Linked DNA regions of Canis lupus familiaris. The protein of the gene in region 2 binds, or shares a complex with, the protein of the main gene of each other region. Links are inferred from orthologs where the notes say so. Each region holds a gene or a part of one and is shown on either strand. Other genes may lie near its edges.

What was found.
Region 1: PPP4R3A (region 2) and PPP4C share a complex: the UniProt entries of both Homo sapiens proteins name them as parts of the PP4 complex. The link is inferred for Canis lupus familiaris from reciprocal best matches to the Homo sapiens genes PPP4R3A and PPP4C.
Region 3: PPP4R3A (region 2) and PPP4R1 share a complex: the UniProt entries of both Homo sapiens proteins name them as parts of the PP4 complex. The link is inferred for Canis lupus familiaris from reciprocal best matches to the Homo sapiens genes PPP4R3A and PPP4R1.
Region 4: PPP4R3A (region 2) and PPP4R4 share a complex: the UniProt entries of both Homo sapiens proteins name them as parts of the PP4 complex. The link is inferred for Canis lupus familiaris from reciprocal best matches to the Homo sapiens genes PPP4R3A and PPP4R4.

The regions. Positions count from the first base shown.
Region 1 is NC_049227.1:18,247,879-18,255,693, reverse strand, and holds the start of PPP4C (serine/threonine-protein phosphatase 4 catalytic subunit), read right to left. Parts: upstream 4,762-7,815; 5' UTR 4,608-4,761; intron 4,375-4,607; 5' UTR 4,311-4,374; coding exon 4,213-4,310; intron 4,121-4,212; exon of another isoform or gene 4,034-4,120; intron 301-4,033; coding exon 249-300; intron 1-248. Other genes in the region: ALDOA (fructose-bisphosphate aldolase A), read right to left, coding at 6,933-7,028, 7,113-7,312, 7,476-7,650, 7,773-7,815. UniProt on the Homo sapiens protein: Protein phosphatase that is involved in many processes such as microtubule organization at centrosomes, maturation of spliceosomal snRNPs, apoptosis, DNA repair, tumor necrosis factor (TNF)-alpha signaling, activation of c-Jun N-terminal kinase MAPK8, regulation of histone acetylation, DNA damage checkpoint signaling, NF-kappa-B activation and cell migration.
Region 2 is NC_049229.1:62,671,156-62,678,862, forward strand, and holds the start of PPP4R3A (serine/threonine-protein phosphatase 4 regulatory subunit 3A), read right to left. Parts: upstream 3,955-7,707; 5' UTR 3,881-3,954; coding exon 3,739-3,880; intron 1-3,738. UniProt on the Homo sapiens protein: Regulatory subunit of serine/threonine-protein phosphatase 4. May regulate the activity of PPP4C at centrosomal microtubule organizing centers.
Region 3 is NC_049228.1:75,607,090-75,613,487, reverse strand, and holds the end of PPP4R1 (serine/threonine-protein phosphatase 4 regulatory subunit 1), read left to right. Parts: intron 1-1,506; coding exon 1,507-1,627; intron 1,628-1,724; coding exon 1,725-1,859; intron 1,860-2,354; coding exon 2,355-2,496; intron 2,497-3,599; coding exon 3,600-3,763; 3' UTR 3,764-4,751; downstream 4,752-6,398. UniProt on the Homo sapiens protein: Regulatory subunit of serine/threonine-protein phosphatase 4. May play a role in regulation of cell division in renal glomeruli. The PPP4C-PPP4R1 PP4 complex may play a role in dephosphorylation and regulation of HDAC3.
Region 4 is NC_049229.1:63,603,588-63,610,708, forward strand, and holds part of PPP4R4 (serine/threonine-protein phosphatase 4 regulatory subunit 4), read left to right. Parts: intron 1-2,962; coding exon 2,963-3,068; intron 3,069-4,144; coding exon 4,145-4,292; intron 4,293-7,121. UniProt on the Homo sapiens protein: Putative regulatory subunit of serine/threonine-protein phosphatase 4.

The DNA.
Region 1 (7,815 bases), on a different chromosome or scaffold from region 2:
TGGAGTAGAATCACTCACCATAGTAAGAAGCCTTCTGCCCTGGCCAAGAGTATCCCCCCAACATATTAAAAGACCATTCCCATAACATCTGTTTCATATAGCAAGGCTCCCTTAAAGATGGGAGAAGGAGCAGATACACAGGGCCCCTGGGCTCTCAGGGATGGGGGTAGCCCTCTGCAGCCCGTAAGATTAGGGGGTATGCCCGTGTGCCTAAGACGAAGCTAGGCTCCGGAAGGACAGGTACTCACTGTGACTGGCGAGTCCACCCTCTGTACGTTGCTCTCCTCTACCAAGATCTCTCTGGAGACAGGAGAAGACCAGGGTCACCACGGCCAGGCCAGGCCAGGCCAGGCCAGCCCAATTCCTGATCTTTTCCAGGGGAGGATATGAGGTAACCTCTAGGGGGCAGGAGTGAGGTGTGCAATATCCCCAGGGTGGGTTGACCAGGCCTGGCCAGGCCTCCCAGAGGCCAATTGGCCAGAGCCCAAACTCTTAACTGCATTCAAAGTTTTTCCAAGGAGGCAGCAGCCTTCTGAGTCCTAACCCTCCCTGCTGCCCTCTTTCACACAACCGGTGCTCATTCAGAAAACAGACCTCCTCTCCGCACAGAGACCTCTGCTCACGCTGCTTCCTCAGCCTCGAGTACTCTGAGACTGTGTCCTCCACTTAGCTTACGGTCTCTCTCTGCTCATCAGAGGCCTTGCACAGACCATCCCAAGGTACCCAGTCATCAGACACACCATCAAAGTGATGTGCTGTGTTTTTCCTTACTTAAAGGGAGTGACAACGTTGTTCTTTCATTTCTCCCTGCAGTGGAGTCTACTACTACTTGCCAGCACATGACATAAAATCACTTTGTCAGTTACAGTCAACTGGAGAGGAGCCACACTTCCAGATTTCTACCTTGATGACAGCAGCAGTGACCACTCTAGCTGATATGCCGCAGGACTGCAGTAAGAGCTCTGCATCGACGACACAATCAAAGAACCATCCCCAAAGCAGGCATCGTGATGACACCCACTGTTCGGATGAATAAACTGGCTACAGTCCTACAGGTGGGACTTGAACCAAGCAGCCTGGCTCCAGGATCTGGCACTTTTATCAAGCTGCTCTGGTTTTGGAGGGCCCCAGGCACCTGCCTACCTTTTTCCGCCAGCCTCCTCCTAGGAGACTAGGAGCTCCCTGAGCTCAGAGAACCCGTGATTTTACCTATGTCCCTGAGGGCACTCTCTCAGACAAAAGCAGCTTGAGGGAAGTGTGGTTGCTTGGCTTTCTGGGAATGGGAGGGCGTCCCGGCAGGGGTCTGGGAGGCCAACTGGCCACCAAGCCCTCCCCGCCGCTGGACTACATCATGGGTCCAGCATCCTTCCACATCAACTGCTTGTGAAGACATTTTCAAATGACTCAGGGGGGTTCTTCTCATCCTCATCTGACACAGAAACTGAAGCTCAGAGAAAAAAGGGGCAGGACCCGGCGAGGTGGGGGAAAGAGAACCAGCCTCCGACCCCAGCTCTGTCACTCACAGCACATCACCCGCCCTCTCAGAGCTCACACTTACCCACCTTTACTTCCACAACAAATGCCAGTCCCTGTCCCTACATATGTAGAATCTCATCTGAGCTCCATAATGACTTCAAAGACTTGGAGAGGTACAGTGACTTGACCAGGGTCACACCATTTTTAGGGGACAAAGCTGGGATTCACGATGAAGACCACCCAATTCAAACCCTCTGCTCTTTTACCATAGTGATATACATTATATATGTATTTTTTTAAAGATTTTATTTATTTATTTATTCATAGAGACAGAGAGAGAGGCAGAGACACAGGCAGAGGGAGAAGCAGGCATCATACAGAGAGCCTGACGTGGGACTCGATCCAGGGTCTTCTGGATCACGCCCTGGGCTGCAGGTGGCGCTAAACCGCTGCGCCACTGGGGCTTCCCCTATGTAAGTATTTTTTAAAGTAATTTCTACACCCGATGTAGGGCTCAAACTCACAACCCCGAGATCAGAAGTTGCATGCTCTACCGACTGAGTCGGCCAGGCACCCCTACACTGGTATTTCAAAGACGACCAAGTTTGGTTCACATACTTCAGGCCTCTCTAGTTCCAAGAATTTACATCTATGTACCCTGGGGGCAAGCTGAGGTTCCAAGATGCTACTGGCCTGGGCCTCGGCCCCTTGTGGGTCTCCAGGAGGCCACGGCCAGGTGCACAAGTTGTTCTCCCTTCAGAACAGACCCTGGATAATACTGGCCAACTTAGGTCTCAGCCCAGTACCTCCCAAGCTCTTCTCAGTTTCAGCTGGGCAAGACTCCCCGACCCCTCAATCCTCTATAGCTCCCCACTGCCTTGCTGACTGGTTGGCTATCAGTTTACAGGCAGTATAGTAAAAGACCTGGATCCAAACAAAGTGAACCTCTCTTCCTACCAGCTATGGGGCTACAGGCAAGGCATTATGTCTTCTGAGGCTCAGTTTCCTCTTCTGTGAAACACTCTCTCCAACCTGCCCGCTCTATAGGGCTGCTGCCAAGAGCAGGTGAGACTGGATACATAACCTGTGTGTCATTCTGAAAACCCCACCATGCTATGCGAGCACTAGCTATCATCACCACCAAATGAATTCAGGCCCTCTGGGCAAGATGAGTCTTACAGGAAAAAGAACAGTGCCAAGCAACAGTTGGTTTAAGTTCCTAAAAATGCTGTCAAGACTGAGGGAACAGCGGTGACTAAAAACACCTTGGGGCTGGTCCAGTCAGGAAAACTTTCTTTCACTGCCAGAACACAAAAGAGTCGCAGACAAGCATTTAAGAGGCCTTGCCTGTTTCCCAAACAGGCCCAGTCTGGCCACTATGGGTCTGTCTGAGGTAAAGCCAGGCAAGAGGCCTAGAGCCACAAGGCCGGGACCTAGCTCTGCTACTTTCTTTCTGGGTGACCTCAGTCAAGTCACTAGGTCCCTAAGGAGTCATGTTAAAGGGAGCAAACAGCTTCCATCTCACAAGACTCCTGTACGGAAAAGAGAGAAGTTCCTTGCCAGTACAACGCCTGTTGTTCAAGGAATGTAGGGTCATTGTGCTGGCTCTTTCCCCACAATCTCCAGCGTGGTACAAGCCACAAACAGTACCTCAGGGGAGGCCGGTAAGTGGTCTCCTCACTGGTGCCCATACATCCCAGAGCTTCCACTCCTGCTCTCATCCTCCTGGGAATATCCTTGGTCCCTGGCTCTGCTTCCATTAGCTACCCAAATTATTTTCATCTTCCAAGACCACCTTCTCCTAGAAGCCTTCCCTGGTGACTTCGGTCCTTACTGGCAATGCCCCCTTCCTACACGGTAGTAACGTAACACCTAAAGACTGCTGAACACTTACATTGTACCACAGCACTATGCTAAGCTAGTCCGAGGCACCAACTTACTGCCTCTTCACCATCATCTTCTTAAATACTATTATTCCCACTTTACAAATAAAGAAACTGCCAGAGACCTCAAGATCACCAACAGGGCCAGTAAGTGGCAACGCTCACATTCCCACCCAGAACCATCACATTCCAAAGCCTGAGCTGTTAACCACTACATGACCCTACTTCCCACAGGCCTCCCTTCATGTCAGGTTTAATTTCATTCTGACTTATTTGCTACTATTTCACACTGAACATGAGGAGATCCAATTCCACCATCTTGCGTTAAGGCCTGAAAAGAGACAGGATATGGAGCACTGGCTTCGGACTCCATCCCTTACTTGCTGGCTGACTCTGAATAGAAGAGTCCTCGGCTGCAAAATGGGGACAATACCACCCACCTTTAGGGGTTGTTCTTGGGATTAATAAGAAGTCTACAAACCATAGAGCCTTTAGCCTTGAACTGCCTTGAACTTCTGTTTTTGTCAACGCTCCCTTTTATCATCTTAATTTTCAAGGCCTATCCCCAAAGTTCGGTTCCTCCCAGAAACTCTGTTCCCCCGACAAGTAGGACTGTCTCCTTGAGCCTCCTTAGGACTTTTTATAATTCTCTGACGCCACTGAAAACACATCACCTAATACTTTAAGTGTCTTTCTCCAGGTCTGTCTTCTCCCAACGGGCTGGTTGCTCCTCGAGGGAAGTGGCCCTATTCTGCTCCTCTCTGGGAAAGATTCCAGGATGAGCCAGGCCCCAAGTTCTCGGCTGGGTCTGCCCCAGTCCGGAACCCCGGGTCAGCGGGGCCACCCGGCTCACCTGGCCTTAGCGCACAGGGCCTTGACTTCGCTCTCTTTGATGAGCTCGCAGCGCCGCAGTTGCTCGATCTGCCGGTCCAGGTCGCTGATCTCCGCCATGGCCCACCCCCCGGCGCGGGTCAGAGCCGGGGCCGCCGCCCCCTCCGCACCGCACAGGGGTCTCCTGAGAAAGGCGAGGGCGAGCCCGGGGATCAGACTGTTTGTAGGGGGCGCCGGGGGTGGAGGTGGGGAGGCAACTCGATCCTGGAGCGGGCCCGGCCCCCCCACCCCCGCCTCCCCTCCCCTCAGCCCCTGGACCCCCGAAGTCCCACGGCCCTGGCTGCTCCCAGCTAACTCCCGTCGAACCCCGTGGTCCCGCGCTCGGGACGGTGGCCTAGAGGAGTCTCAGACTATTACCGCCGCCGCGACTCCGGCTCCCGCTCCCGGGCTCCCTGCCTTCCTCCTTCCCTCGGCTTTGGGCCGCCGCCACCGCCGCTTCTACTTCCGGCCCCGCCGCGGAAGCGAAGGAGGATCAGTTCCGCCGCGCGCCGGATGTGGCGTCATACACACCCTCCCCTTCCCGCGCCGCGCCCCTAGCTCCGCCTCTCGAGCCTAAGAATGGAAATGAGCGAAGGAACCGGATGTCGGCGGCTCGGCAGCCGCGGTGACCGCGGTGCCGGTGGACAGCTCAGTCCCCTCCGCGTGGCCGTCTCAGTGAGACGCAAGCTGAGCCGCGCCTCGAGATACCTGTTTGGGTCGGCCTCCCCCAGTACAGTCCCCGAGGGTCACGCTTTCAGCCCGTGCCTGGCACAGAAGGCGCCTCAGCGGGTGTTCAGAGGCTGGAGGAATCCCGTCCAGATCCCTCTCCACGGCCCGGAGAAATGTCTGCCACAGAGGACCTCTGAAGTTAGAGGCAGAAACGAGGCCACCTTGCTCACACTTGGCGTATGCCTCAGGCAACATGACCTCCCGATTCCAGAACGGCCCCTGACAACCCTCAGTTGCTTTATAGTGTCTGCAGTTGTATTTCTTTTTGTACGGAATCAGTTCTTTAAAAAAAAAAAAAAAAAAAAATCAGTTCTTGTTTCTCATCCACCTATTGCTTAGACTCGGTTCTGGAATTCACTGTTACTAGAAAAGCTCCGAAACCCTCAAACTGTCATTTGAGGAAATGGTCTGTAAGCGTACTTTGCCCTGTATGGGCCTTTGCACGGGCTGCTCCCTTTTGAAGCGTCCTTTTTGCTATCTTCTGTTGACCTTCCATTTTTACTTGCTTTACTTCAGACTTTATTTCACAGTGAGGTTAGGCACAGAAGTAAGGCCAAAGTTGAGAGAAACACTAAGAGTAGGTTTGGTTCTGTATGTAGTCAACAGATGCAAATGTGAACTGGAGGAAAGGACCAAGTCCTTAAACTCCTAGAAGGCCCTGCACAGCACTATAGGGATACAGTAGGCCCAGAGATGACAAGTCAAGATTTTTTTTTTTTCTGGAGGGAAGCTCAGGCAGGAAAGGGCCCCTTATCAAAAATTCAGGAAATGGCAGGAGTCATGAGGTCCCTGGTTATGACTAGGATCTTCAACAGCTCAGAAGCTCTGATGCAGCTACTACTTTGCCCTAGCCTGGGTGACTGGGTAAGGGCTCAGGGCATGGCAGAGGGGTAAGAGCAAGGCCTTCCTTCTGGCTTCATGGAATATCGCTGCTGCATTGACTTAGTGCTTAACCTGGAACCTGAGGGCCACAGTTCTGTTGTTGAGGTGGCTGTTAAAAAGGGATTCCATGTTCGTCAAGGGGTTCCCCAGCCCAAAGAAGATTAAGAAGCCAGTTATAATCCCATCTCCTGTTAAGTCGGGAAAACAGACAGCTCAACCATGTAGATTAAGGACATGTGCATTAATAATCTTGTCTTCATCCAGAAAGTGCTATCTCAAGCAGTATGGCACTTAAGCAGGAGTTGGGAATAGCACATGCTCATATAGATTGTGTCATCTGGCTCATAGCACTCGGGAAATGTTAGCTTTTGTCAGTGACTTTTTGTGCCAGGGGCCTCCTACACCTGAATTCTCAGTCTATAAGGGAGGCTGAGTGGGAGCACCTAGATGGCTCAGTGGTTGGGCATCTCCCTTTGGCTCAGGGCATGATCCCAGGGTCCTGGGATCGAGTCCTACATCAGGCTCCCAGCAGGGAGCCTGCTTCTCCTTTTGCCTGTCTCTGCCTCTCTCTGTGGATCTCTGACGAATAAAATCTTTTAAAAATAAAAAAATCAAAGTGAGGCTGAGCCTAACAGTTACACATGTAGTCCCCAACTATGAGCCTTATTGGGTACTGCTGGTAGAAGGGGGCAAAGCCCTTGATGGTTGGAAGAAAATGTCACAAGATCTCTTCTTGAAGCCCTCGGCATAAAACAGGAAGGTTCTCTCTCAACCTGTTCAATTTTTTCCTGCCTCGCAAGGAAAAACAGAAAACAAGGGCTCTTCTATGCTCTGTCACCTCCCTGGGCCCTCCCCTAACCTGAACACCAGACACAGACAGCAGACTCCCCCTTAAATAGTTGTTTATTGGCAGTGGGCTGGAAAGAGCAACGGAGTTAGCATATACAGACAACACCACACACCAATGTCACATGGGAGGCCAAAGTGATGGGAAAGAGCAGCCTGGAGCCCCAGGTGAGGCCCTCTCTTCAAGAGTGAGTGGGAGAGGGTGGGGGCTGGAGTGTTGAGGGGGCAGCCTTAGAACACCTCCGCTTAGTAGGCGTGGTTAGAGATGAAGAGGGACTCGCTGGCTGCAGCCCCGGCCTGACCACTTGGGGTGTACTTTCCTTGACAGGCGAGGCTGTTGGCCTAAGAGGGGAGAGGAGCCAGAGTGAGGTCTCATCAGAATTCCATCCACCCCGGCACCCGGCCCACTTCCGGTCCCATCCTTACCAGGGCTCGCTTGATATACTCTTCCTGGGCAGCCTTCAGGTTCTCCTTCTTTCCACCCCAGGCCTTCAGGGCAGAAGCCTGTAGGGCTCGGCCATAGGAGAAGGTCAGGGCCCATGGCTTCAGCAGGGGGCACTTGTTGATGGCATTGAGGTTGATGGATGCCTCCTCCTCACTCTGGCCGCCTGATAGGAAGGTGATCCCTGTAGAACAAAGAATAAAGTAGGGTAAGTGGTTATCATCAAAGACCTGGGGATTAGCAGAAGCCTCTAGAAGCTGACCTGGAAATCTGACCAAATGAGCATAAGGGCTGTGGTTACAGTTCATCTACCCTCCAGGGATCAAGATGAGGATGTGGAGTCTCACCAGTAACAGCGGGGGGTACTGTGCGGCGCAGTGCTGTGACAGTTGCCATGGCAATCTCCTCATGAGAATATTTATGGGTGCAGGCATGGCCTGGGGTTACCATATTGGGCTTCAGCAAAGTGCCTTCCAGGTAGATGTGGTGGTCACTCAGAGCCTTGTAGACAGCAGCCAGCACCTAGAGCAGAGCAGGGTCAAAGTGGATTGGGATGGAGTTGGGGGGCGGGGGCAGGAGTCAGCCCAAAAGGCGTTGGCCCAGCTGCCTAGCCCCCACACTGCCCAGCCAGGCAGGCAACTTACCTTCTCAGTTACATACTGACAGCGCTTCAAGTCATGGTCCCCA
Region 2 (7,707 bases):
GAGCTCTTCTCAGTAGCTAAATCTGGAATGCTTACTGTATGCAATATTCTACAACGCTTACTAATTTATGAGAAAAAAAAATTGCTGATACTTATCTCTGTTCATTTCTTTCACCACAACAGCCCAAACAAAACAAAAAAGGCTTTCCACCTTAAGTGTTCTGACCTCCTTTTCTAATTATAGTGGAGGTGAGGCACTACTTACAACCAAGTTCTACAACAGGCAGAGAGGTACAAGATTCTGGTTTTTACCATTAGCTACTAGTGCTAACTTGAACAAAAACATTTCCCCGTGTCTCATTTTCTTCGTGCCTCAAATGACACTGAAAATTTAACCTTTTAAACTCCGAAAAAGGTAACTCAGATAATAGATAAAACTATTTTGAAATATAAAAATTACTTTATTCAACTTAAGGTAAAAATCAAAATATAAGAACACTATTCTTTTTTTTTTTTTTTTTTTATTTACTTATGATAGTCACACACAGAGAGAGAGAGGCAGAGACACAGGCAGAGAGAGAAACAGGCTCCATGCACCGGGAGCCCGACGTGGGATTCGATCCCGGGTCTCCAGGATTGCGCCCTGGGCCAAAGGCAGGCGCCAAACCGCTGCGCCACCCAGGGATCCCCAAGAACACTATTCTTGATGCTTGGCAAGTAATCCAGAATAAAGAGCATGGATATGATTTTTCATGTTAAATAGACATCCTTCAGTGTGTGGAGAAATTCCAAAGTCTTTATCAATTCTAAAATTAGAAGGTGGAAATAGTAAAAACCATAATGCAGTAGACTGATTTAAATATAAAGTGAGAGGGCAAGTTAGGGATTACATTATTACCCTTAATGCAACTTAAAAGGTATAGCATTAACTGAAAGAAGAAAAAAAGTAAATTTTTTGTTTGTTTGTTAGATGGAACTTTGTTGGTACCTGGCTATGACAAAAACCTTAGAAATGCGGTAATCTATCTTCATTGGAGAAAAGGCTATGTTCCCACAATACCCTTTGCCAGTAGGAACCTACTGAACAAGGATAAAACCTAGAGAGCGGGCTCAGTAGCTTGGCAGGACCTCTCTCTCCTCCAGAGTAAAGTGGGCTACAGATTTGCCAAATCATTCAGTTCAGAAGGGAAAGGCATACTTACTCAGAAAGCTGTGCCCTGTTAACAAGGAGGCCACAAGTACTTCCATTCAGAAATTGCCTTCCTGATTTTCAGTTTAGTGTATAAGCACCTCTAACAAGATAAATGACTCATTTTATGGAAAATCAGAAATACTTTCCACTTTGCTCACCACAATAAAAAGAAAATTCTCAATTATCCCATAATGGAGAATGGGAAAAGCATACAATAATGGATGACCGAAACTAGCAATCTGTACAAAAACTCCCATGTAGCTTGGAGATAAACTATAGTTTTAAATATCTTTAGGCTAAAAATTCTTTTCATGTTCTTTGAAATAAACTTTGAGCTTTTAAGTATAAAGTAGCAAACACAAGTAGACAGCAGTAAGGGAGTTTACGCTATAAACAGTTAATGATAATAATAGTCTCAAGTCAAAGGCTGTCTGAGCCTCAGTTTCCCCATCTGCAAAATATGGCTAATAATAGTACCTATACCAGCAGATAACAAGTAGAGTCTCTGGCACATAGTAGGGACTGGATAAATTTTTATTATTCCTATTTAGAGTTTTCCTGTCAGAAGACAGTACTAATCATCAAACGAGATTATTTCTGACAATATTTCGTAAGTATGCTGCAATCTTCTAAGCCCACTCCTTTGATTTAGTTTTCCTTACATCTTAAATTAACAAGGACAAATCAGTTACGTTTATTTCAGCTTTCTTTCTCTATCAATAAAAAATAAATAAAATAAAAATAAATAAAATAGATAAAACTTACGGCCTTTTTGTTTTTGCCATTCAACCTGTTTCATTGCAGGTTCCCAAAAATTCCCAAGGGAGGAAACGAGTTTAGGGGCTATTTTCCAAAGTGGTAACAATAAAAATGGGGAAAAAAAACAGATCCCAACACAAGTAGGTGGACAAGGATTCCCCAGGATAGTATGACATTGAAACGTAATGCTTAAAAATACTTTTTAAACAAAGGATCCATTCATAGAATGAGTCCAATTAAATATGTGATGTGACAGTTATACATGTTCTTTGAAGTTAGGAAATTTCAAAGAATTGGTCTCACATCTACACACACTTTCATCTGGAAGTTAACTGAACCTACAAAGCCCACGCTTTTCAACTCATTATGTAAAAAGTTTTCCAAACAGGCAAAGGAAAAGAGGATATGTGAGAGTAACTGGTGACTATGTGAGAGACACAAAAGCACACTAACACATTCAAACTTGTATTTTTAAGAGGCAAATAAATAGGCCTCAGAAAAATAAACTCAAGGTATTCAAAATCCTTTAAACGCCTCTAAAGGAAATAATTTCTAAGTTATTTTCAGCAGCCTTATGAAGTTAACCTGTGGGCAATATAGCTCTAAAGTACAATTTTTCAATTCAAATTGAAAATCAATGTCCCTAGAGTCTTTAATCACAGAGGGGTGAGTCTTGTTTGTTTTTCATGGAACGGAGAGTTCTGGGTTGAAAGTCCAATTAAAATTCCTTGAGACCCGCTGCAATAATTCAGATACAGAACAACTACAATCCTAATAAACTGAAGCGCCTAAAGTGAAATTACAGACTAATGTAACAAGACAGGTTTTCCACTTCAAAAGTAACAATTTGGAAATACTTTCACCTGATGTGGACATTTTAAGCGAAACTCCGAAATACGTCACAGAGGGAGGCGGCAAACACTGAACCTTGAAAAATGTGCAACACTCATTTTCAAACTAGGTCTCTGAAACTTGAGGGCCGTTTCAAAATAATGGGAACCACAAGCACTATGGCAGATACCAAAGGTTTCAAACTTATCTGCCAACTTCTCCCCACCTGTTAACTGAACCAAATTGTGATCACACATTTAAGCGGTCCAAAAAAAAAAAAAAAAAAAAAAACCCGCGAATAAAATGGTTCCACCCTTGCAAGACGCCTACACAAACTATACACAGAATTCTGCATTACTGGGGGGGAAAAAAAAAAAAGACAACACCAGGTAACACAAATCCATCTTCTTTCTCGAGGCAAAGAAGCATTTCTCTGCCATCCATGAACCGGAGTTGCCAACCTGCTGCAACAGGATCAAAGAGATGTAGCAGAAAAATAGTTTAAAGGGGGGAGTGCGGGGGGAGGGGGGGGGGGTGGCGGCACAGCAAGCACAACGTTCTCCAAAGAGTGACACCTAAGAACTTTCTTCGCTCCCAGAAAGTTTCACGCCTGCTTCACAGATGAGTGAACTAAGGCAGAAGATCGGATTAATCAGTGCCTTTCTCAAGGTCACTCTGGTGCAACAGAACGGCACCGTCCAGGCCGCCGATCTAGGCCCCCGCCCTCGGCACACGCCCGGGGGGCTCCGCTCCAACGAGCCGGGCTCCCCTCGTCGCCCAAACGCTACCGGGCGCGGGGAAGAAAACGAGACCCTCCGAGCGCTGGCGGTGGCGGTGGCGGTGGCGCTCGCGCTGCAGCGAGCTCCGGGAGGACCCGGGCGCCGGCGGTCCGCCCTCCCCCGGGGCGGCGGCCGCCCCCTCCGACCTCGCAGGGAAGCCTCTGGCCCCCAACACCCAGCGATGTGGCCCGGGGCCGCCGGCGCCGGCGAGGGTCCCGCCGCCAGGGGCCTCGCTTACCGTCGCTCTCGGCCCTGACAAGCAGGGACATGCCCTTCAGCCGCTCCACGTAGCCGGACGACACATGCCCGGTGCCCCGGTCGTCCCACTGCCGGTCCTCGTTGAGCGTGTAGACCTTCACCCGCCGCCGGGTGTCGGTCATCGTGCCGCCCGCGGGCCGGGGCACAGGCCCCGCTGCAGTCGCCCAGGAACGGGGGCCGGCGCCGGCGGGAGGACGCCTGCAGGCGGGGCGCTCCCGGGCTCACTGCCGCCGCTGGCCGCCGCGGGGCCGCGGGGCCGCCCGCATGGCCCGCTCCCCGGCCCGAGCTCTGGGCCCCGGTGCTCCTCGCCTCCGACTCCCACTTCTGGGCGCTATTGTCCGCGCGCGGGGAGCCCGGCCGCCCCGAGAGGGGCGCGCAGCGCTTCGCAGCCTCCCGGGCCGATGCGGTAGGACCTCGGGGCGCCGCTCACTGCCCCGCCGCCGCCTCCGCCATGATCTCCGCGAAGCCGCTTCCCGCGCCGCCGCCGCCTCCTCAGGCCGCCGCCGCCATGTTTTCCTTCCTTCTACCTGGCCCTGCCGCGGCCGCCAGCGGCTCCGCGCTCCGCTCCCCGGCTTCAAACGTCCCAAGCCGAGGGGCACCTCCTCCTGCTGCAACTGCTACCGCTGCGCCGGAGCCTGCGAGAGCCCCCCCGGCGCGCGAGCGCTCCTGCCTCCTGGAAGTCCCTTTCCCCTCGCCGCTGCCGCCGCCTCTTCCGTCTTCCTCACGGAGCCAAAGCCGCCGCCATCTTGGTTCGCCCCTCAATAGCGGCGCGCGGGGCCACCCAGGCAGCAGCTGCAGGGGCGGCCCGTTGGCCCCACCATTTAAAGAGACAGGAGCGAGGCCGGGAGCCTCGCTGCGGCGGAGGCCTCGGACGGAGGCGGGAGGCGGGCGCCGAGCTGCCGAGGTGGCGGGAGCGCAGGGAGCGGAGGAGGCGGAACGCTGGTCGCGCCGCTGACGGCCCGGGGCTCCCTCGCGCTCCCTGCACGCACTGTCGTGCGAGCGCGGGGCGGCGTGTGCGCCGTCGCGCCCTGTGTTCGTCATCAGCCCCGCTCGGGGACTCGGAAGGGGCGTGGAGCCCGCGTCCGGCCTCGGCGCGCCCGGCGTCTCGGGGTGCGGGGGCCGCCGCGGCCTCGGCCTGTCGGGCTGCGGGCGCCGGGCCCCCCCGCCTCCCCCTCCACCGGCGTCCTGTGCCGCGCGCCGGGAGCGCACCGTCGGGGAGGCGCCGGAGCCCAGGCGATGTCAGGCGCCTTCCTCGGGGAGAAACGGAAAGGCTTCCGGGGACGGCCCCAGGTTTGCGCGGCGAGGGCGGCCGCCCGCCCGGGAGCCGCCGTGGGGCGCGTCTGCAGAGCGGACGGACGGACGGACGGACGGCCGCAGGCCCGGGGGCGCGGCTACACCCGCCCCGCCGCGCCCGCCGACCGCCCGCGCGCTCTCCCGCTCCTCCGTGTTGCAAGGAAAGCAAGACCCGAGGGACGCACGAAGCCCGGTCGCCGTGCGATGCTGTGCAGCCGCGCTGAGCAGTTCTCAACGGGGGCTGTGAGGGCCTGAAGATCCTCACAAAGGAATCGGACCCCCCCCCCCCCCCCAGATTCTCACCCTCGTGCAAGCAAGAGCCGCCGTTTGGGGGCTTTCCCTGTGTCCACTAGACGTGACACGAGCCACGTGTAATTCAGAATTTTACAGTAGCCGCTCTCCGAGAAAGTACAAAGAAGCCGCTGAAATGTATCTTCATAATGTATTTTATTGGATGCGGTATCTTCAAAGTTTTAATCCTCAGTATGACGTCAATGATTTTTTTCCATTCCTTTTTTTTTTTTTTTTTTTTCTTCGTACCTGAGTTCAAGATGCGATGTGTGTTTTTCCCCCTCGGCGTAAATTTCTCCTTGGAAGCTAAATCTCCTTTGCAAATAACCTAATCTGTGCTTAGAGTGTATTAAGCTTACAGTGGGAAAAGGATATTCGCATATTCAAGTTATTTTCTTCCAAAAGTATCCATTTTTAAAATGTAAAAGTTTAAAATTCAGTTCCTTATTCATTCGCACTAGCCCCATTTCAAGGGCTCAGTAAGCCCCTGTCTAGTGGCCACCATTATGGCAGGTCCAGGTGCTTGACATCACCAGGAATCTCCCATCAAACCTGCAAATGCATCTATCAGGAAGAGGCCCTGACAGCAACACCAGTACTGAGAAACGGGTTGCCCAGGATATGGGATTTTTCTGTTTTAAATCAGAAGTTGGGGCAGCCCGGGTGGCTCAGCGGTTTAGCGCCGCCTTCAGCCCAGGGCCTGATCTTGGAGACCCAGGATGGAGTCCCGTGTCGGGCTCCCTGCGTGGAGCCTGCTTCTCCCCCTCTGCCTGTGTCTCTGCCTCTCTCTCTCTCTCTGTGTGTGTCTCTCATGAATAAATAAATAAGATCTTTTAAAAAAAAATTAAAAATAAATAAAAATAAGTAGATAAATCAGAAGTTGGGACAGTCCTCCCCCACTGACAAATACAAAGAGGTGCTTACAAAGAACAGTCGGAGACTTTCCTCTTTTGCCAACAAAAGGGGAAAATTATAAAAAATAAAGCTGTTGTCTAAAAAATAAAACACAGTAATGTCAAGCATCAGGGGGTGACAGCAATTTTGTCCAATTTTGATCCAGTAAGACATCATTAAATTTATTGTTCCTACTTACTTGAACCGCAAACCAAACATGAAATAATTTGTGGAAAAAAAATCAACTGGACTCACTCCTATCACTCTTATCTCCCTTCTAAAACTCTCTATAAAGCTGGTGGTGCTTTTTTTCCCTACTCAAAGTAAGAGAAAGAACTTGAGCCACTGAAAGAAAAAAAGCCACTCTCCCTTCTGAGGCCACCAGTGAAAATCAGATCTTGCCGTGATGGCAGGTATTGGTAGGAGGGGACCTGGGGAGTGGAGCACTATGAAACTTGGTGTCTACTCAGGAGGCAGGTGCTGCTCTGATGTATAGTGTGCTCCTTGAGTGGATTCCTTCAGAGCCAAGCCAACTTCCCAGGTAAGAACAACCACACACTTGAAAAAAGAGATCTAGAATGAACTATATCACAGTTCCTTGAAAAAGGCCTGTCACTCACCTTTGCACTTCTGTCTTGAAAAAGAAGATCCAGAGGATGCCTGGGTGGCTCAGCTGTTGCGTGTTGTCTGCCTTTGGCTCAGGGTGTGATCCCGGGTGCGGGAGTCAAGTCCTACATTGGACTCTCTGCCGGAAACCTGCTTCTCCCTCTGCCTGTGTCTCTGTGTCTCTCATGAATAAGTAAATAAAATCTTGGAAGGAAGGAAGGAATGAAGAAGGAAGGAAGGAAGGAAGGAAGGAAGGAAGGAAGGAAGGAAGGAAGGAAGGAAGGAAGGAAGGAAGGAAAAAAAAAAAAAAAAAAAAAAAGAAGACTCAGCTCCTGAGACTGCTTTCTATCTAGGGGAGGGAAATCAGGTTGGGCCAGTATATGCTTTCCTTGTTCTCTGCCACAGCTGACAAGTCTCCTCTCTCACCCTTTTTTGAGATGGGTGTCAAAGATTGCTTAGTTGGTTGACATGCACACGTGGTTAATGAAGATTTGAAATGAGGTATCTGCAAGACAAGCTAGTCCACAGACATTTTCTAAGACTTCAGATAAAAATTTGAGTCATTTTCACTTTTGCCCCCACCTTTGTACTTGGCCCCTCCCCAAGGCCTACTAACTTTCTTCTCTTTCCTATCCCCTGATTTGATTCTGCCATTTTATTTCTTTGGTCATCATCTTAGGATTTGTTGTAACTGAAGTTCTCCGACTCAGTTACAGAAGGTGACTCCAGAAACTGGAGTCTCGTACTCTGAAATGGCAGGGCTCAGAGCCCTGCAAAGAACACAACCAGGCACTGGCAGAAAATAGCAGCATTAACATCAGCATTTATGTTAGTTTGCAGGGCCGTGAGGAACCCAGAGAGTCCC
Region 3 (6,398 bases), on a different chromosome or scaffold from region 2:
TGGAAACGGGGGAAGCTGTCGTGGGCTCAGCCCCAGGCGCTGAGGCGCCGCGTGTGCCTGGCTCCGTCAGGTTCCCCCTCCCCATGGCACGCAGCCTCTGCCTTGTGTCTGTGGCCAGTGCTGGGCAGAGGCCGCTGCCGTCCTCAGCAGGAGGAGACCTCGCTTGTCACCGGGTAGGGCCTTAGCCCAAGAAGCCGTGCCGCGCCGCGCTCTGGGGTAGAGTTCGTTCTCCTCTGCCCCCGGCTGCAGTGTGTCTGCCTGTGCCCGTGGGTGGACGGGCTCTGCTGCCCCTCTGTCAGCACCTTAAGGCTCAGGCTTGGTAAAGAGAGGACCCCGGGGCGGTGCATGGGACTTTACCCCTGTACCTCAACATGTGTCACTCATTTCCTGCCTGCTGAGGGGCCTCTCTCCAGTTTGCTTTCCTGACCCCAGACTTTCTCCTGAGGTATGCACCCAGGGCAAGCCAGCAAGAACATTTGCAGAGTCAGAAAATGGAGTCGAGGGATGCCTGGGTGATTCAGCAGTTGAGCATCTGCTTTTGGCCCAGGGCGTGATCCTGGAGACCCGGGATCGAGTCCCACATGGGGCTCCCTGCATGGGGTCTGCTTCTTCCTCTGCCTGTGTCTCTGCCTCTCTCTCTCTCTCTCTCTCTCTCTCTCTGTGATGAATAAATAAAATCTTCAAAAAGAGAGAGAAAGAAAGAAAAAAAGAAAATGGAGTCAATCATTGTGCCTCTCATTTCTGAGTATTTATGTGTGTGTGTGTGTGTGTGTGTGTATACACACACACACACACACACATACATACAGGTACCTTGGTCATTGCTACATTATGTATATTCATGCCTCTAGTTACTCCCTGCTGATAACGAATGTAAATAGTCTTAAACATGAAATCTGAAAGGCAAAATCTCACTGGTATTGGAGGTATTTTTTCCCGGGCATTGTTGCATCTACTCAAAGTAGCCAGGCGGATACGGTCAGTCTTCAGGTCTACCCAGATGTGATAGAAACAGTCACTAGAGGACCTCTCTGCTTCTCTTATCTCTAATAGGGGTGTCATTCCCTTAGGAGCTGCTCAGAGCTTGGACACACACACCTCAGGCTACCTAATACTACTTACTAGAACTTCTTATTTAGGAAACTGATTTGTAGAAGGAAGTTTCTCAGCATTCTGAACAGTTACATATGTCCATGTCCCAACTGAACATACTAGGAAGTGCTTTGCTCTGTCTCAGTCCCTGTGGACTTAGAATTCCACATTTGTTTTCCTTACATTTTGAGGGGAGGAGATACTTGAACTTGCATAGTGTTTAAAAACATTTCTAGAGACATACAGACTGGTGATGACTCTGTGCATGAGAGACCACATTGCTCACTAGTCTTTGCATGTGTTCATCTTACAAATAGTATCCAGTATTACAAATTATTCAGATGATTAACTTATTTTCATTTATTTATTTTAAAATTTTAATTATATTTTTATTTTTATAATTCATTTTTGTAGACAGCTGATTTTACTTCTAGAATTATATAGTCCCAGAGATGTTTATGACTATTTACGTCCCATTGCTCTGAATCTATGTGCAGATAAAGTTTCTTCTGTTCGTTGGATTTCCTACAAGTTGGTATGTGTTACAATTTTTTCAATTTTAGAACAGCACACTGTTTAATAAGATCCTGGAACAGAAAGTCTTCCTCATGTCTCTGCGCTCCCCCTCCTAGGTTAGTGAGATGGTGAAGAAGCTGCACATGGCAACGCCCCCCACGTTTGGAGTTGACCTCATCAATGAGCTCGTAGAAAACTTTGGTAGATGTCCCAAGTGGTCTGGCCGGCAAGCCTTTGTTTTTGTCTGCCAGGTAAGTGAAGACTTATGCGTGCGTGACACATTTTTCTATCTAAAACTATGTTTCTTCTTTCACTGTGCTTCCCAACACTCTCTTTCTGATCCTTAAGGAACACTTTTGCCATCTGGCTCTCCAGGGGATCACCTGTTCCCCAGTTGGTGTCTGCCTGGCTCATCCCACAGCCATCCACTAGGGGGCGCTCGGGGTCCATGGCATAGCCTGTGGCGTGTGTGTGTGTGTGTGTGTGTGTGTGTGTGTGTGTGTGTGTGTGTAAATGAGCATGACTGCACACTCCGGGACTCAGGAGAGCCATTAAAAACCTATTTGTCTGTGAGGACTTAAAATTATGTCCTCTTAGTTTGGGGTTCCCAAGCGCGTGGAATGATAGTTTAAAAAGAAGTAGCTGAAATCTGTAGTGCTTGGGCTGTTAACAAAAGAGAATGTTAGCCAGTATTCCAGGGTTTGGCGATTACCTTGGCAGATTAAAGGAACTGTTTGTCCTCCTAGACTGTCATCGAGGACGATTGCCTTCCCATGGACCAGTTCGCTCTGCATCTGATGCCGCATCTGCTAACCTTGGCAAATGATCGGGTTCCGAACGTTCGAGTGCTGCTTGCAAAGACGTTAAGACAAACTCTCCTGGAGAAAGGTGGGTAGGTGACTGTTAGGAAAACCGTGTGCTGCGGGGAGGAGGTACACGGACTGCACGGATGGAGACGTAGCTGAGCGGAAGCACTATATGTTCCTACGTGTTATCTGATGGGAGAAGACTTGAGTTGTCAAGTGGGGGCTCCCCCTGAGAGAGGGCACAGATTAGATGACAGGGACTTGTTCGCCTTCCTGCTCCAGGGGCATTTCTTCTATAATCAAGACAGTCATCATGAAGACTGCTAACTCTGGGAAACGAACTAAGGGTGGTAGAAGGGGAGGAGGGCGGGGGGTGGGAGTGAATGGGTGACGGGCACTGGGTGTTATTCTGTATGTTAGTAAATTGAACACCAATAAAAAATAAATAAATAAATAAATAAATAAAAAAAATCAAGACAGTCATTTGAAAGATTAGGTATTCTCTTAAGACAGGATGAGAAACTGCCGTCAGTCTGTCCCACGTGACCTGTGTTACTGTTGCTCAGGGCCAGGAGGCATGTTTGTGTTTCCTCCTCTTCACTCCTTAGGCAGAAGACAGATGCTTCCTGGTATTTGCTTTGCTGCCACATACTAATAAGCTGCTCAAGATTCAGCTGTGTTTTATTTATTGTCGGCGCCCCCCCCCCATATCTAACAAATAGCATTTAAATGCATGAACTCGTGAATGAAGCATAGAAACGTTTGTTAATAGGCTTCTAAGAATATGGGTAAATGAATACTGCTTTTCCCTCCTTTAGAATTCATTTAAATTGTTTTAATAGCAGTAAGGAAATAGCTAAAGAAAACTGGTTCTCAACCTGTGTGATTGGTACTTGGGGTGTTTGTACTGAATTAATACCTATCACAAGTATAAGTGTTAATATATTTATTAGCTTTGCTGCCATTTAGTCTGTTCTAAAAACAAGATAAATCATACAATTCTCTTAGGCTTGGGGATATTTTTCATATCACACCAATCAACTTGGATTACTATTTGTAATTCGACATAGCTTGTGTTTATACTTGGAGAAATTATGTTTATGACTAAGAACTTAGTATACTCATACTTGATAAAACTGAAATGTTAAACTCATTTTATTTGTAATCTGCATTTTGCATCTCCAGAATATTTCCTAACCTCTGCCAGCTGTCATCAGGAAGCCGTAGAACAGACCATCATGGCTCTTCAGATGGATCGTGACAGTGACGTCAAGTATTTTGCAAGCATCCACCCTGCCAGTACCAAAATCTCTGATGATGCCATGAGCACAGCTTCCTCAACCTACTAGAAGGCCGGAACCTCATCCTTCCGCTTCATAGGGAGCCAAGGGCTGACAAGTGCTCCACACATGCGATCTGGGCCAGCCTTGGGGAGGAGGAGAGACCTTCCTCGCTTGCAGATTAATTGCAGGTGCAAGTTGCCTACATTGATACCAGGGATTTTAAGAGTCAAGAGAAAGTACAGTAAACACTATTATCTTATCTTGACTTTAAGGGAAAATAATTTCTCAGAGGATTATAATTGTCACCGAAGCCTTAAATCCTTCCGTCTTCCTGACTGAATGAAACTTGAATTGGCAGAGCATTTTCCGTATGGAAGGGAGGAGATTCCCAGAGACCTGCATTGCTTTCTCCTGGTTTTATTTAATGCCAGATAGATGGAGTGGCAGCCAGAAGGTGGCTGCGAGCCAGGATGTGACCGAGACCTTCAGTATTAGCCCGCACTGTCCCCACGCAGGCAAGGACCTGTTGGTTCCGTGGCCAGCCGCCCAGCCCGGCCCTAAGTGTGAATAGTTGCCGACGTGTGTAAATGCGAAAGGAGATTGGGGGGTGGGTTTCTCCTAAGGGCTTGATGCTAACACTAAAGTAGAATCTGATTTTAACTCTTAAATGCAGCATATTGCTGTGCACATTTACAGAATGTTGGCTGAGTATCTATGTCCCGATTTTCTTCATGCTGGTCATGACCCGAAGGAGTGGATTGGCGCGTGCTGTATGTCAGGTGTTTTTAACTTGATCATGATCGGCTCTGAGGTGCAGCTTTACTTCCCACGTGTACATACCTGTGACCACTCTTGGGAGTGCTGCAGTCTAATCATGCTGTCTAAACTTGTGGCACAAGTTCTCTTGTCCGAATAAAATTTATTAATAAGATTATATAGAGAGATATATACACTTCTGATTGTTTTCTAGATGTCTGCAAATAAATGCAATTTGTGACCTGTATTAATGATTTAGTATGAAGTGGGAAAACTAGATTAAAATATTTGTCTTTTACCTAGTTTAGTAATTTGTTTGCCATCTGCATGTGCCACTTGGGGCCAGGTTCTGTTCCCAGCAGACAGTGGGGTGTCCGGAGTTCAGCCCAAGGCCCCGGACACATAGTCCTGCAGCTCTGAGTCCCCACGGCCTCTGCACAGTGGGAACGGGAAGCCATGCCCCATCTGTGGCCGAGCGGCCTTGCACAAGCTGGGACTGGGACGCTGCAGACTGCTGCATGGAGGTGGCGGTCGCTCTTCTGAGCCCAGCTTGAAGGACCCTTGGCCTGAGTCCCTGGGGTGCACCTGTGAGCTTTGCTTTCCATGACTCAGCCGGCAGGGTCCCCTCGAGCCTCGGGGTGCGGATTGGGGAACACGTAGGCCGTGTTGTGTACAGACTATCGCGACTATCGCAGGTGAGACCTGTGTCTCTGCCTCTTGCATTACAACCCTGCGAGCGGAAGTGTGAGCCAGTTGCCCTGGGATGGAGGAAGCGGGGGTGCACGGCGGTCTATGGAGGGGGTCGGGGGGGTTGGTGGGGCCTGGCCCAGAAGGGGGGCACAGATGGGAGGAGGGCGCAGCCCCAGAATTTCAGTTGTGTAAATGACGTGACCGTCCCACACGAAGCTGCGTTTTTTTTTTTTTTTTAAGGTTTTATTTGTTTATTCATGAGAGAGAGACAGAGAGAGGCAGAGACACAGGCAGAGGGAGAAGCAGGCTCCATGCAGGGAGCCTGATGTGGGACCTGATCCCGGAACCCTGGGATCAGGCCCTGGGCCGAAGGCGGTGCTCCACCCGAGCCCCCCTGGGCGTCCCGGTGCTGCGTGTTCTCGTAAGCGACAGCAGTAATAGTATATTCGGGATAAAGGACTTGAATTTAGGGCAAGCGTACAAAGGCAGCACAGGCCCCTTCCCCGCTGGCCCGGCCTCTCCGCGACCTCGCTGCTGCTCGGCGCTGCCCTTGGAGCCCTCCCGCGTGGTCGCGTCTGAAGAACCGCGGGCCGGGCCGCAGGAGGTGGGGGCTCCGCTCCACACTCAGCGCCATGTGGGCCGAGCCGGGCTGCTCCTGCCTCGGGGCGGGAGCGCCAGGGCTTCTAAGGGAGAGAAGTGGGCTTCCGGAGGCAGCACAGGACCCAGCAAAGGAGGAAAACTGACCGTCCCAGCAGATCTTTGAAACCCTCCAGGAGGTAGAAACTGCAAACCAGCTCAAACTAATTTCATAATCAGAAGAGGAATCAGGTGGTGAGTATGTCCTCATAGGGTTAATGCGGGGCGGCTAATCTTAGGAGATATTCTCTTCCAATCCATGAGCATGGAATATTTTTCCATCTCTTTGTGTCTTCCTCAAGTTCTTTCAAGAGTGTTCTGTAGTTTTTAGGGTATAGATCCTTTGCCTCTTTGGTTAGGTTTATTCCTAGGTATCTTATGCTTTTGGGTGCAATTGTAAATGGGATTGACTCCTTAATTTCTCTTTCTTCAGTCTCATTGTTAGTGTATAGAAATGCCACTGACTTCTGGGCATTGATTTTGTATCCTGCCACGCTACCAAATTGCTGTATGAGTTCTAGCAATCTTGGGGTGGAGGCTTTTGGGTTTTCTATGTAGAGTATCATGTCATCTGCAAAGAGGGAGAGTTTGACTTCTTCTTTGCCAATTCGAATGCCTT
Region 4 (7,121 bases), about 930 kb from region 2:
GAAGAACAGTAAAGCAGGGTAGAGAATGAGGAACGTGACAGTGGGTAGTAGGATGCTCTTGTGGAGAGAGAGTGGTCAGGAAGGAGTCCTCTCTGATCAAGTACACTTCATGCAGAGGTTTGAACCAAATAAAGGAGTTACCGTGTGGATGTCTGAAGGACAGGTGGCCTGGGCAAAGGGAATAGTGTGGTTGCGTGAGGAGCAAGGAAGCTGGTGTGGTGAGTGGCAGAGAGATGAGGCAGGGGGTGGTGGGGCCCGCAGCACAGTGCACTTTCAGGGCCTTGACATGGAATCAAGCTTGTATGCTCTGAAACATGGAAAATCTTTGGAAGGTTTTGAGTAATGATTTTTTTTCTACTTTTTCTACTTTTGTAAAGATACAGAAAGGCAGAGAAAATGATGAACCCCCATGTAGAACTCAGCTAGACTGAATAGTTATTAACATTTTGCCATATCCACTTTTTCTGTTTCATTGTGCTGAGGAATTTTAAATTCTAAGTATCATTATATTTTATCTCTGAACATTTCAGTGTTCGTCTCTAACAAAGGACATCCTCCTATATAATCACAATATAGCCATTGCATTTTACAAAGCAGACAATTATTCTTCAATGTTGTTTCATATCTCTGCAGTCCACATTGGCCCCCTAAGTATATTTTATAATTGTTTTATTCCATATAGGATCCAATGCATATCCATATAGGATCTACATTGCCTTTGGCTGTTACAACTCTTAATTGTCTTTTAATTCAGAACAGGCTCCCACTTCTCCCTTTTGCCACTTTTTCATGACATTGAATTGTGGAAGAGACTTTGTTGTCCTGTAGAATATTCTGTCAGAGTGCTGCTTCATGGTTCACCTATTCTCAATATTTCTTGTAAATGGGAAATTAGATCTAATAGAAAATTAACCTAAAGCTCACTGAATTTTAGGTTACACATTTTTGGTGAGAATACTTCTTGGACACCAATTTACATTTTATATTGCATCCTATCCAGACATGTGTTTCTCTGTCAGTGAGCTCAGAGTGTTTGTCCAGGTGGGGACAGCTTTATCAGTCTGGTGCAAAATTATGTTTTCTCTTGCAAGGTACACTGTACCCTGAAGCTGATGGTTGGAACACTCTGAACACCATTTTTCCATCAACCTTAACACTCATTAGGCAACCACTGGTGATCCTTCCTGAATCTGTTTTCATTAGAACTTGCAGGAGAGTGATTTTTAAAAATTCTATCACTTCTACATTTTTCATGACATTCTTCCATGAAGAGATATTCTTCTTTATCCATTTGGGTAATTTGATTACACTGAAATATATTTCCTCATGTAATCCTTAGTTTTTTCCTCCTGCTGTCAGTTTTTAGAGTTAGGAGCTGGTGCAGTAACCACTCCCAGTGGTGACAACTGAGTTTTGTTTTGGTTTTGTCTCCCTTTCAGGCTTATTCTCTAATATTAGATATTGTTTTAATCAAATGCAGTCATTGTTTGTGTACTCAGATTGTCACAATTTACTCAGGCAGGGCCTGACATGTTTTTGATACGATTACCTTCATCTTTGATTTCTGGCCCAAAAGATAGCTTATGTTATACTGTGAGGTAAAAAAAAAAAATTTTTTTCATGTGACTAGTATTGATGTGTTTGAAATTCTATTAGTATACACAAATTGAAGAAGAGAGTAACATGTTTTTATTCAGTTCATTTATCTAAAATTCATTTTTAAAATGCCAGTGATGCTTCTCTTTATGTACCTTTCTTAAATTTTCTGTTCTAATTCATAGGGAATACTCTCCTTTTACGTTTTTTTTTTTTTTTTTTTTTTTTTAAATTGAATAAGGAGGAACTTTATTTATATATTTGTGGCTCAAGGTGATCAGATGGTTTTTTTTTTTTTTTTTTATGATAGTCACACAGAGAGAAAGAGAGAGAGGCAGAGACACAGGCAGAGGGAGAAGCAGACTCCATGCACCGGGAGCCCGATGTGGGATTCGATCCCGGGTCTCCAGGATCACGCCCTGGACCAAAGGCAGGCGCCAAACCGCTGCGCCACCCAGGGATCCCTCCTTTTACGTTTAACACATCAAAAATACCACACAGAATAGTACTCTAGAGAAAAAGAGCTTGTATAAAACATGAGAGGAGGTAGTAGGCTACTCCCCGCAGTGTAGTAAGTTTTATTCTACTTGAATTTCAAGGATCCCCACTATAATACTCTGAATCTTTGAATATTAAATATGATGGTATTTATATGTAAGCCAAGGTGGTAAATACGAATTTTTTACTGGTTGAGAGATTTTTTTTCTAATATATAATTTGAACCCAGTAAAGATAGATAATTGAATTCATTTACAGTTGACAAATTCTGCCCAGTGATAAGATGGAAAGTCAGAAGACAAAGGATTATAGAACACTAGTCAGAGTCACTGACATGGTGTCCCTTGGATTCTAAATTTTATCTGTGATATAGGCCAGGGATCTCGATGAATGGTCGAAGAGGCAGAAGCAAGCGGAAGGATTGAAGGGTACACTTGATCATATGATTTCTAGATTTCAATTTAGAAGTGGCACATTTTTGGTGATTAGGTCTAAGGCAGGGCATGTTCTTGCAATATTTGTTGAATAAATGAATGACAAGGTCCAGGGAATGGCTAAGAGAATGGATGGCTGAGATGTTTTTGGGGAGAATGCCACTTAACGATGAAGTGGCAGAGAAAGGAGAGTCAACTAAAAATCAGATCTGGATGATTTGGAAATGACTGTGCCAAACTAAATTAACTTTGTAATGTGATGCATTAGTTGATCTGCCTGAGTGATATTCACACTGAATTAGGAAGACACTTCCTAGGTGATTTGAGAGGCAGACAAAATTGCTCTTACTTTTAGCCAAAACTGAAAATTGATCTGTGGAGCAAAACTATGCTATAAGATTAGTCTAATTGTCTTTCCTACCTGTTTCTTTAAGAATGTCTTACCTGTCCAAAAGGCAGCTTCACGAACTCTATGCATTTTTCTACGTTATAATCGTAAACAAGAACAGAGACATGAGGTCATTCAGAAGTTAATTGAACGTAAGTAATCATTGCCTTTTATTTGGAAAAGCAGAAAGTAAACTGGCCTTAGTTATCTTGGGCCGACATTATGTATCATTTTTCCGTGATGTTGATAAATATCTAGAGTGTGTATTTGAGTTTTGTAGGTTATTTATTTTTTTTTGCTTTAGAAATTTAAATGACAGGATCGGTCTGTGATTGAATGGGAGAAATATTTACTCTGGGCCTTCTTTAGTGAGTTTCTACACTTGAGAAATTAAAATAATGTATATATATATTTTTTTTAATTTATTTTTTATTGGTTTTCAATTTGCCAACAGATAGAATAACACCTAGTGCTCATCCCGTCAAGTGCCCCCCTCAGTGCCTGTCACCCAGTCACCCCCACCCCCCCGCCCTCCTCCCCTTCCACCACCCCTAGTTCATTTCCCAGAGGAGTCTCTCATGTTCTGTCTCCCTCCCTAATATTTCCCACTTGTTTTCTCTCCTTCCCCTTTATTCCCTTTCACTATTTTTTATATTCCCCAAATGAATGAGACCATATAATGTTTGTCCTTCTCCGATTGACTTATTTCACTCAGCATAATACCCTCCAGTTCCATCCATGTCGAAGCAAATGGTGGGTATTTGTCATTTCTAATGGCTGAGGAATATTCCATTGTATACATAGACCTCAACTTCTTTATCCATTCCTCTGTCGATGGACACCGAGGGTCCTTCCACAGTTTGGCTATTGTGGACATTGCTGCTATAAACATCGGGGTGCAGGTGTCCCGGTATTTCATTGCATCTGTATCTTTGGGGTAAATCCCTAGCAGTGCAATTGCTGGGTCGTAGGGCAGGTCTATTTTTAACTCTTTGAGGAACCTCCACACCGTTTCCCAGAGTGGCTGCACCAGTTCACATTCCCACCGACAGTGTAAGAGGGTTCCCTTTTCTCCGCATCCTCTCCAACATTTGTGGTCTCCTGCCTTGTTAATTTTCCCCATTCTCACTGGTGTGAGGTGGTATCTCATTGTGGTTTTGATTTGTATTTGTCACATATAATTTCATGCAGGAAAGATTAAACTTATCTTTTTTGTTGTTGTTTCTAGAACTGGGCCAAGGAAAAAGTTATTGGAATAGACTTCGATTTTTGGATACCTGTGAATTTATTATAGAGATCTTTTCCAAATCATTTTTCTGTAAATATTTCTTTCTACCTGCTATTGAACTGACACATGATCCGGTGGCAAATGTAAGGTATGCTACTAATCCAAAGAAATACTTGAAAATATTGTACATTTAACTTTATCTACTATAATTCATCTTCTGATCTACTATAATGTACTTACACTTTGAAATTCCTGGTAGTCTTAATTCATGAGCCTCAATAGGACTTGGAGGCATAATCTTTTTAAACAGTGCCTCATGTCTTTGATTTATTGGGTTAAGAGAGTAGTAGTCAAAGCCAGACTGGCAGGCTTCTCCTGCCACTTGGATAAATACATAACATTGGTGTCAGGAGAAGGTTGAGTAGATAGATATTCTTAATTTATGGATTTTCTGAGACTAAAGAAAATAACTTAAAGTTGGCTTGGCCAAGTTCTGTCCATTTTTAGAGGCAATCAGGATTGGATTTTGTTTCGTATTTTTAGTGTAAGAAAATACAGAAAATGCTACTGCATTGGCTTCAGTATTTTTACATCTATGTTGTTAATATTTTGCAAATTGAAGTTGTGACTCTAGAAAATCAGCTCCCGGTGTGATGAATTATCATTTATCAAGCAATTGACAAAGATTATTTGAAAGGAAATGAAATCATCTCTACTCTGGTCAATATGACTAAATGCATAGCATTGACCCTAAGAGATAGCAACCTGACAATTCAAAAACCAAATGAAGATTAATTGAACATTGCTCCATAAATATTGGTTATTTTTGGAGGGTAAGAGATCATTGCATAGCAATTTGTCTTGGTTTCAGTTTTCTTCTTTTTTTTTTTTTAAGATTTTATTTATTCATGAGAGACACAGAGAGAGAGGCAGAGACACAGGCAGAGGGAGAAGCAGGCTCCCCTCGGGAAGCCTAATGTGGGACTCAATCCTAGGACTCTGGGATCACGACCTGAGCCAAAGGCAGACACTCAACCTTTGAGCCACCCAAGTTTCAGTCTTCTACCTGGGCAGCTGCCAGCCAAACAAATGGATTCAGCAACACAGTATGCTAATTGGCTTTTGGATACAAAGCATTTGCCCAACTCTGTAGAGATGTTATTTAGAATGAAAGCCATCACAGGCAAGAGTGGTGGGATCATGCACTTAGTAGGAGGGTTTCTGGAGCTATACCACCTGGCCTGATTTCCAGCTATATACTAGCTGTGGTCTTTGGGCAAGTTACATAATCTCTCCGTGCACTAATTTCCTTAATTACCCAATTCATAGGGTGTTCTGAGGAATAAATACCTGAGATAATGTATATAACAAAGTTAGCTTACCAGAAAGATGTGATATCTAATCTTAAAATCTTTATAATCTCACGGGTCCAGGAATCTCACAGAGATAACTCACCGCTGTGGCTTCTTCTTCTGTACCTTCTGTTGAATATATGTTTTCTAGACCTACTTTGAGTTATGAAGAATGAAGTATGCATAATAGTCTGTTGTTTCTGTTTTTCCTTAAGTGAATGTTTAAAATTTGAATTCATTGATTATAGACAATATGAAGCCTGGAAAGACCATTGGTATTCCAAAGGAACCTTCCCCTTTGCCAGAAATGCAAAAAATTCTCTTTGGGGCAACTCGGGCCTCTTAATTTAAAGAAAGCATCACCAGGATCCGTGGTGAGCTCTGAGTGAGTTTAAGACCATTATTGCTATGAACAGAGCTGAAAATTCTGGAGGAAGAGCCTGTTTAGCCTTTTTGCTTGAATAAAAAGCCAATTTTTTTTTTTTTTTTTTTTTTTATATGAAGATTCCTCAACTGTGAGCTTAGCTGACAAAGTGTCCTGGAAACTCTGGGAGTGGAACTTGGTTGTCTCAAATTGGCATAAGGAGTAAAAAAAATAGTATTTGGAGAGCACTAAGATGAATGAATTGATACAGCAGCTAAAACATAGGCAACCACCTAGCATCCCTCTTTAAAGCCAGCCCTGGCAGAGTGGTAGGGTAGTAGCTTAGCAAAGCAGAGAATTTTTTTTGTACTGCTTCTTCCTAGGAAGCTTTCTGTACTTCCCTGGATTGCTTCTCTCCTCTTTGGCATTCTTCAGCCTGCGTGTTGCTTCCTTATCCATGTGGTATAGACTGGGATGGCACCTAGACTCTGTCCTTTTATCTTTTCTTGAACTGTACCTACAGCCTTGGTGATCTGTCCAGTCTCATGACTTGCATATCATCTGTGTGCTAAAGATTCCTGACTATATGGATATCCCTCCTGGACGGGAGCCACGTTGAGCTAGCTGCCCACCTAGCATTTCCATGGCATGTCCAACAGGTGCCTCAGACTCAGTCTGTCCCAAAGTAAATCCTCATCTCCTGCACCTGCACACACCCTTGCTCCTTCTGCAGTGTTCTCCCTCTGAGCAAATGACCATCGCACCTTAGCACCCACTCAGGTCAAAACCTTAACCTCTTTTCTGCCAACCCACTGCAGTCCCTCAGCACATCCTGCTGCTTGCAAAATATACTGAGTCCAACTGCTTCTCCCCACCTGACTGCTAGCACTGTAATTCAGGCGGCCACCATCTACTGCCTGAATTACTGCCAGAGCTTCCCTATCGTTTCCCTTCCATCCCCAAACACCTACAGTCTCCTCTCTCTTAGACTCAGTAGTCAGATGGTCCTTCCTGCATGTTAAGTCGGATCCCTTCATTCCTCGGTGCAAAATTCTCCATGACTTCCTATGGTGCTCAAAGGAAAAGCCAGTCTTCAAGCAGTGGTCTACAAGGCCCTGCAGGAGCTGGCCTCCTGTTGACAGTTTGGGCCAATTTGCCGATTTGGAGTAATACCCTAGGCAAGCTCCCCCTGTAGAGCATTTGCACATACTGCAGGCCCCTGCCTGTCCTGTTCCTCTCCAGATGGTCACATTACTTCCTA